2 linked regions of the Sus scrofa genome follow. The protein of the gene in region 2 interacts with the protein of the main gene of each other region in a pairwise test. Links are inferred from orthologs where the notes say so. Each region holds a gene or a part of one and is shown on either strand. Other genes may lie near its edges. The genes, in order: ARL2 and TBL1XR1.

Region 1 (3,586 bases), on a different chromosome or scaffold from region 2:
GTGGGAACGCCCTAGGTGGATAGTTTTGGGTAAGTCACGTCTCCTCCCGGAGGCTCAGTTGCTTTATGAATGGGGACACTGAGAATCTGTCCTGTTTGGGGCTGTTCTTCAGTGTGATGGCAAGTGACAAATCTTCAGAGGGAACCCTGCAGAGAAAGCACCACTGGCAGGACCACAGCAGGGGGCCCTGTGAAAACTTCCATCTGCTCTGCCACCTGGATGGGGGTCCTGGGGTCCCCCTGGTTCCCATGCTCTCCCAGTCTGGTTCCTGCTTCAGAAATGCCCTTGAGCCTTGAGGGAAGGCCCCTTCGCAGCTCTGCTCTTCGTTAGCTTGCTCTACTTGATGCCTGCTCCTCCTTCCTGCATCGGAGTCCGTCCCCCCCGCTCCCCGCCTCCCTGCTCCCCCCTCACCCCGTCTCCCAGCAGCCCTGTCCTGCACTTTTCTAACTCTCTGCAGTCCCTTTCATACAGCGAGTTCACCTCGGACTGCAATTACCTTTTCTGTCCTCTGCTGGCCAATGAACTCCAGGCGGTCTCTAGGGTTGTTGAATCAACAAATGACTCAGCCAGGAATGGGGGCGAGGAACACTTTATTCTCACAGCTGAGCAAAAGACGAGGCCCACAGCCTTGACAGCAGCAGACGCAGCCCCCTCCCAGCCCCAGCCCTCTCTTCTTGGTATAGTTGCTGCTGCCGCAGGCCAAGTTAGGAGCCAGGGTGACAGCCAGGGCGGGAGCCGGCTGGCCCCGGAGCAGCAGTGGGCAGCAGTAGCAGCAGCAGGTTATGGAGTGGGGCAGGGGTGTTAGTGGGGCTGGCTGACTCCCATGCCCGCGTGGATGGTGCCTGGCGAGGGCCTGGTGGGGGCGCCTGGACCGTGAGGTGAGGGGGCATCTGGAGTGGCTCAGTCGGCCATGAAGATGCGGCTGGAGATGTCATCCAGGAGCCAGTCGATGCCAGGCAACAGGTTCTCCCCGGTGACGGCACTGCAGCCCTGGATGCACCAGTGGTGGCTGCGGATGGAGTCCAGCTCCAGGGCCTAGAAGGGAGGAAGGTGACAGAGGGCCCCGGTGTCCACAGGGCCCGACCCCCCTCAGCCCCTTTCCCCTCCTGGCCCAGGGGAAATCCACACCTCCCTCCAGGGCCTGCTGTGGGAGGCTTCCCCTGGCCCCTGGTGAAGATGTGTCACACACACCCCCGCACCCCGCTTCCGCTCCACCGTCCAGAGCACCTGAGCTCTCTGTACACGACAGCCAGACCAGCACGGCAACAAGGGCTCCCGATGTGGTGCTCTGGGCCCTACAGTATCCTCTCACCCATTCCCCCCCAAGGCCCCATGAGCCAGGGATTGTACTGGCCATTTTACTGAGGAGGAAACTTCAGAGAGGTTAAGCAACCTCCTAAAGTCACACAGCTAGTAAGTGGCAGAACCCAGTTTCTAACCCCACTCTTTCTCGTTCTAGCCTTCCAGTCTACAATCAGACTTAAGATGCACTCTGACAATGGGAGGTCCCAAGAAGGAACACGTGCTGCCAAATACTAACCAGGAGAATTTGGGAGGGGCCGAGAGAAGGAAGGAGGTGACCAACCTCCCAGGATCCTTGGCGCTGGAATCCATCTTGGCTGAGGGATGCATGTGCCACCAGAAAAGGACCCCAGCTCAGACCAAATTATGGGCCAAACAAGATGACTGGCCAGAGACAACCCAGACACTAACCTCATTACCATAAAACCTGAGGCTTTGAGCCACATGGCAGCAAATCCGATTCCCTTACCCTACTGTTCTCTGCCCAGGGAGCCTCTTCCCAATAAAGCTTTTTGCTTTGTCAAAAAAAAAAAAAAAAAAAAAGAGTTCCCATCCTGGTTCAGTGGCAACGAATCTGACTAGCATCCATGAGGATGCAGGTTCAATCTCTGGCCTCGCTCAGTGGGTTAAGGATCTGGTGTCACTATGAGCTGTGGTGTAGGTCGAAGGCTCGGCTCAGATCCTGAGTAGCTGTGGCTGTGGTGTAGACCAGCGGCTACAGCTCTGATTCGACCCCTAGCCTGGGAAAACTCCATATGCCACGGGTGCGGCCCTAAAAAGACAAAATATAAAAATAAAAAACAAATAGGAGTTCCCGTTGTGGCTCAGTGGTTAACAAATCTGACTAGGAGCCATGAGGTTGCGGGTTCGATCCCTGCCCTTGCTCAGTGGGTTAAGGATCTGGCGTTGCCGTGAGCTGTGGTGTAGGTTGCAGAGGTGGCTTGGATCGTGCGTTGCTGTGGTTGTGGCATAGGCCGGCGGCTACAGCTCCGATTAGACCCCTAGCCTGGGAACCTCCATATGCCGCAGAAGCAAAAAAAAAAAAAAAAGACAAAAATAAAAAACAAATAAAAGTGACTCAAAGACATTTAAAAAAAGTAAAGAGAGAGAGTTAAGATACAATCTGGAGTCACACCGGCCTGTGTTTAAATCCTGGCTTGTCTGCTTACCCTGTGACCCTGGGCCAGTTACCTTTCTAAGCCTGCCTCACTGTGTGTAGAATGATGTAATAGTTCCTACCTTGTGAGGTTGCTGTGCGAACTAAATGAGTTAATCCGTGCACAGCCTAGCACGTGGAAGCTACTGTTCCCTTGTGGAATAATCTATTTTCAGGTCTGCCTGCCCCTGGGCTGTGGGCTCAACTCTCTTACTAATCACTGACTCCCCAATACCCTGAGTAGGTCCTGCCACACGGCACGGCTAATACATGCTTATTCATTTATTTACTTATTTACTTATTGGCTGCACCTGTGGCATGTGGAAGTTCTCAGGACAGGGATCGAACCCACCCTCGCCATACCCATAACCAGAGTCACATCAGTGACAACGCTTGATCCTCAACCTGCTGAGCTGCCGGGGAACTCCCAACAAATGCTTCTTAAATTAACAAGGAAATGCATGCCCCTTCCTTCCTCCAAGGCCTGCACTCACCTCGCGAATCGCCTTAGAGGACAGTGCTCCGGGCAGGTCCTGCTTGTTGGCAAAGATGAGGAGGGTGGCACCAGCCAGGCGCTGGGGAAAGAGAAATAGAGGGGTGTGTGTGTGGGGGGGCTTCAGAGGGCAGCCTGGCCCCTCCACTGTTCACCCAGGGCAAGGTCCCATAGCAGTGGGAAAGACACAGGCGGGGTGGGGGTGGGGGAGATGGCCTTTGTGTCCAGCCATTTACGGGGTGGAGGGAGCCCCAGGCTGGGCTAGGCCCTTGGTTCCAGCCCAGTCACCACCCAGTGGGCACTGCTCTCCTCCGAGCCTCAGACCCTCTTCTGTAAACAGGGAGGGGGTGACGGACAGACGCTCCAGAGCCCTCCAGGTCTAGCCTGCTCCGCTCTGATGACCTGAGGTGCATGAAGAATGCGACTGTCCCAGGGGCTCTGGGGTCTGTTGGAAATGACCTTCCCTCTTCCAAGTTCACACAGCTCTCCAAACGGTCCCATTACCCTGACAAGCCTCACTCTCTGCCTGTGATTCCAGTTATTTCCATATGTGTTTGGACTGGGAGTCCCTCCACATGGGTGGTGGATACAGCCTTAAAAAGAGCCTCGAGGAGTTGCCATTGTGGCTCAGTGGG
Region 2 (3,818 bases):
ACCTACATCACAGCTCACAGCCACGCCAGATCCTTAACCCACTGAATGAGGCCAGGAATCAAACCTGCAACCTCATGGTTCCTAGTCTGATTCGTTAACCACTGAGCCACAACGGGAACTCCATAACAAATTAACCTTTATAGAAGTTAGTTTAATATTCTTTTTACCTTGTCTACTCCAGCACTTAGGATGAAATTTCCTTTCTTATTCCACTTTAATGCAAATATAGGACCTTTATGCTGCCCCAAGGTGCTAGCAAGGTTACCTAATATTCAAAAGGAAAAACATTAAAATTACTTTAAACTGTATAACTTAGATCAACACTAATAGCAAATGAAAAGAAAAAGTGCTTCATTTACCATCTTTAGTCCATATTCTGGCAAATCCATCATAGGAACCAGTTGCTAGAAGTGTACCTTCACTCTGTAAGAGAAACATACTTCTTCAATTAAAAAATCCAGAAAGGACATTTAATTGTTATCAGAATATTTCATGTTTAAATCCCAGGTACAGCTGATCTGTGACATTCTCTGCTTCAAAACCTTCAGCTTTGCCTACTTGGAAGAGCCATGAAAGGCCTACAGAAAACCCTTCATTGCTGTAGAATTTTGTCAGCATTTAGTCATGATGTGAGCCTCATGTCAAAATCTCAAGAATGGCAGCAACTGCTCTGGTGCAGGATCAACATCACTCTTGTGCATGCTAAAGTTTACTACATTCCCATAGGTGCACGTGACTAAAGATGGGGGTGGGGTGATGGATTAGGAAGGACATCAAAATCATAACTTTATAATGATTCAGGAAAAGTAGAGAGAACCCTTTCAAAATATTTCATTACGATTAGAAGTTTTTATAAAGACCTCCCTCTAAATCTTTTATTGTCTAAACTATGTGTCTGTATGTCTGTGTGTGTTCCAAATAATATTGTTGTTTCAGATGATCAGATACTTAAATATCACTGAATGTTTCTTTCCTTTCTTAATTATTTCCCAATATGAAATCCTTACAATAAAAACAGCAACACAAGAAAAAGAGCCAGAAAAGAGTGTAGACTGACTTTATAGTTAATGAAGTAAGTACAGTTGCCTGGAACTACTCTACTATGAGGAGAAATCTATACCAATTTCTCTAATCCTATATTCCCTTATTCCCTTACATGTGCCTTACTTGATTAATGGTACAACACAAGGACACACTTAACTTATTCTACGGAAGTACAAGTGACAGAATACACAAAACAGACTATTGCCCGGATGAGTAAACATTATTAGAGAGAGAGAGAGAGAGAGAGAGAGAGAGAATGCAAGCCTGCCTTACTCTGTACTTTTTGATACTTTCCAGTAAGTGTATTGAAAACACAGTCACCTTTTTCAGACCTCAAGTCATTTACCTGTACAGGTAAGTGGCAAACGAATGTTGGTTCTATGGGTTGTAGACTGAGATTTGCTAGGATTTGAAAAGGCCCTAAGGAAGAAGCAGCAATGCTGAAGCCAACAGCAAAATCTTAATTTCAGACTCGGAACAATGGAAAGTTTCCTTCTAAAATGGTCCCCAAATGTTTTAAGATCATGGACCACTAAAGTAGGAAAAGAACACTTTAAAGATCAGATATTTCACAGGCTCTTGCTTTAGTCATGGAAAAGAGCCATTAATCAACAGTAATATATTCCCCTTTTAGTGGAAGATTTAAGCTTGTAGTGAAAATAAATCTTCAAAAGTCCACACTTTAAAAAACTTTTAACTTGCAGTTCAGAACCACCAAGTTCAACATACCATTTATTAACCATTCTTTTCAGTGTAATCAGTAAACTTCATTTAATTAACATGGCCTCCAAGACAAACAGATTAAGAAAGACAGAAGGCCTTTAATCTATGATATAGTTAGGTACCATATTAAGAAGACAATTCTTAGTTCTGACCCTTCGACCAAGTAATAACTGAAATGTGCTAAACTTCTTTTCATTTCTAGAATTCTCAAATTTATACAGGGGAAGAATAAACACATTGCTGGAAATTTAGAAAAGAATATTAAAAAATCTTACCTATGAGTTCTGGAAGAATTTCATAGAGTAATCATGTTTAAAGATAGAGCTCATTTCTTGGAATAAGATTTGGAAAATCCTTTGGAAAGCCCCACAAAGTTGTTAAACAGAGGCCAGAGAAGGAGAAGATGTCCACTTGCTAAGGAAAGGACAGCTGACCCTAAAAATTCTTAGTAACACTGGTGTCTGAAAGGCTTCTCAGAACTGGGGTGGGGGGTGGTGTTTAAGAAACTGATGTAAAGTTACAAGGAAGAAAAAGGCAACATGGGATAAAGAGAAAGATACAGAAACTTTAAAAATGGTGATTTCCTGCAAATTAATAATGGGACTGCAAACAAAGCTGTTAATCATGTATTTGAGGAGTTCCTGCTGTGGCTCAACGGTAATAAACCCAACTAGAATCCCTCAGGATGCAGGTTCGACCCCAGGCCTCGCTCAGTAGGTTAAAGGATCTGGCATTGCGGTGGGCTGTGGTGTAGGTTGCAGATGCAGCCTGGATCTGCAGCTCCAATTTGACCCCTAGACTGGGAACTTCCATATGCCACAGCTGCAGCTCTTAAAAGAAAAAAAATCATATATCTGAAACTGAAAGGATAAAGCTTTATCAATAATGAAATAAAACTTTCTAGTAAATCAGAGTAGTCAAGTTATCCTAGAAAGATTCTGAATAATATATAGAATTAGAGAATGTTAAGATTCATACAGCTAGAATGCAGCTTGGAAGACATCTAGACAAACAGTTCCTGATGAAAACTTCATTGCCAACTGCATGCTAAGGTCTCCTATATTCCAATAGATGTACATGACTAAAGATGGAGTGGGGTGATAGTCTGGGAAGGACATCAAAATTATAACTTTATAATGATTCAGTAAAAGTAAAAGACAGCTGGCAAAGAAGTTTTTATCAGTTCTCAGCTAAATAAGAGAAAGAAGAATATGTTTTTATTGTACAGATTTCCCTTATACCTCCAGCAAAAGGCTTAGTAGTTAAGAATTTACTATGTGCTTGTTACTGATTTTCATTTTTACTTCATTTATGTGGGACCATTAATACATACATTAATACTTTACATGTAAGGAAAGTGAAGCACAGAGTGATAGACCAGTTATATGCAAAGGTTCTGCAGCTAGATAAACTGAGGAGCTGGAAGATGAACTTTGGCCTGCTTGCTTGAGCAGTCTTTGTTTTTGACACATTAGAGAGGTGGGGACTCCTAGTTTGTTGTTCTTACTAGTCAGTGAAATCCAAAAAGTAACTGAACAAACAGACATACCCTGTCTTAAGTCTGAGGCTCAGAGAAGTTCAGTATATTAATAACTAGATCCATCATGGACAATACAGTAATACTCACATTCCAATCTAGAGATGTCACATCCTTGTTGCTTGGGACATCTTGCCCTCCTTCTCGTATACAATGTCTAAGTACTAACTGTGTGGAGCCACTAGTGCTATTTTCACTAAGATTCCATATTCTTGCTGTTGAGTCTCCAGACCTATAAAGTATGCAATATATTTTAAATCCTCATGATATTCTCAAGTATTCCAGAATCAAGGCAACATATTTACATCCTATTATTAATAAGGCAAAAAAAAAAAAAAAAAAAAAAAACTAGACTATCAGAGATTTCCATTTCCAACATTTTTCTCAGTCTCCACTTTGGGGGCCACCAAGCACTAGCTTAATTAAAGCATCTAAGATTACATTATGAATAAATAAAGAGGTACAGAGGCAAAATGACCATAAATAAGCAACAACAAAACCCTGAAAATATAAG

Evidence for each region.
Region 1: the proteins of TBL1XR1 (region 2) and ARL2 interact in binary tests that used the Homo sapiens proteins (3 or more experiments, as listed by UniProt). The two-hybrid records come from large-scale screens. The link is inferred for Sus scrofa from reciprocal best matches to the Homo sapiens genes TBL1XR1 and ARL2.

What each region holds. Positions count from the first base shown.
Region 1 is NC_010444.4:7,157,390-7,160,975, forward strand, and holds the end of ARL2 (ADP-ribosylation factor-like protein 2), read right to left. Parts: intron 3,034-3,586; coding exon 2,953-3,033; intron 1,846-2,952; exon of another isoform or gene 1,460-1,845; intron 1,036-1,459; coding exon 901-1,035; 3' UTR 574-900; downstream 1-573. UniProt on the Homo sapiens protein: Small GTP-binding protein which cycles between an inactive GDP-bound and an active GTP-bound form, and the rate of cycling is regulated by guanine nucleotide exchange factors (GEF) and GTPase-activating proteins (GAP).
Region 2 is NC_010455.5:115,338,019-115,341,836, forward strand, and holds part of TBL1XR1 (F-box-like/WD repeat-containing protein TBL1XR1), read right to left. Parts: intron 3,537-3,818; coding exon 3,395-3,536; intron 424-3,394; coding exon 360-423; intron 266-359; coding exon 168-265; intron 1-167. UniProt on the Homo sapiens protein: F-box-like protein involved in the recruitment of the ubiquitin/19S proteasome complex to nuclear receptor-regulated transcription units. Plays an essential role in transcription activation mediated by nuclear receptors.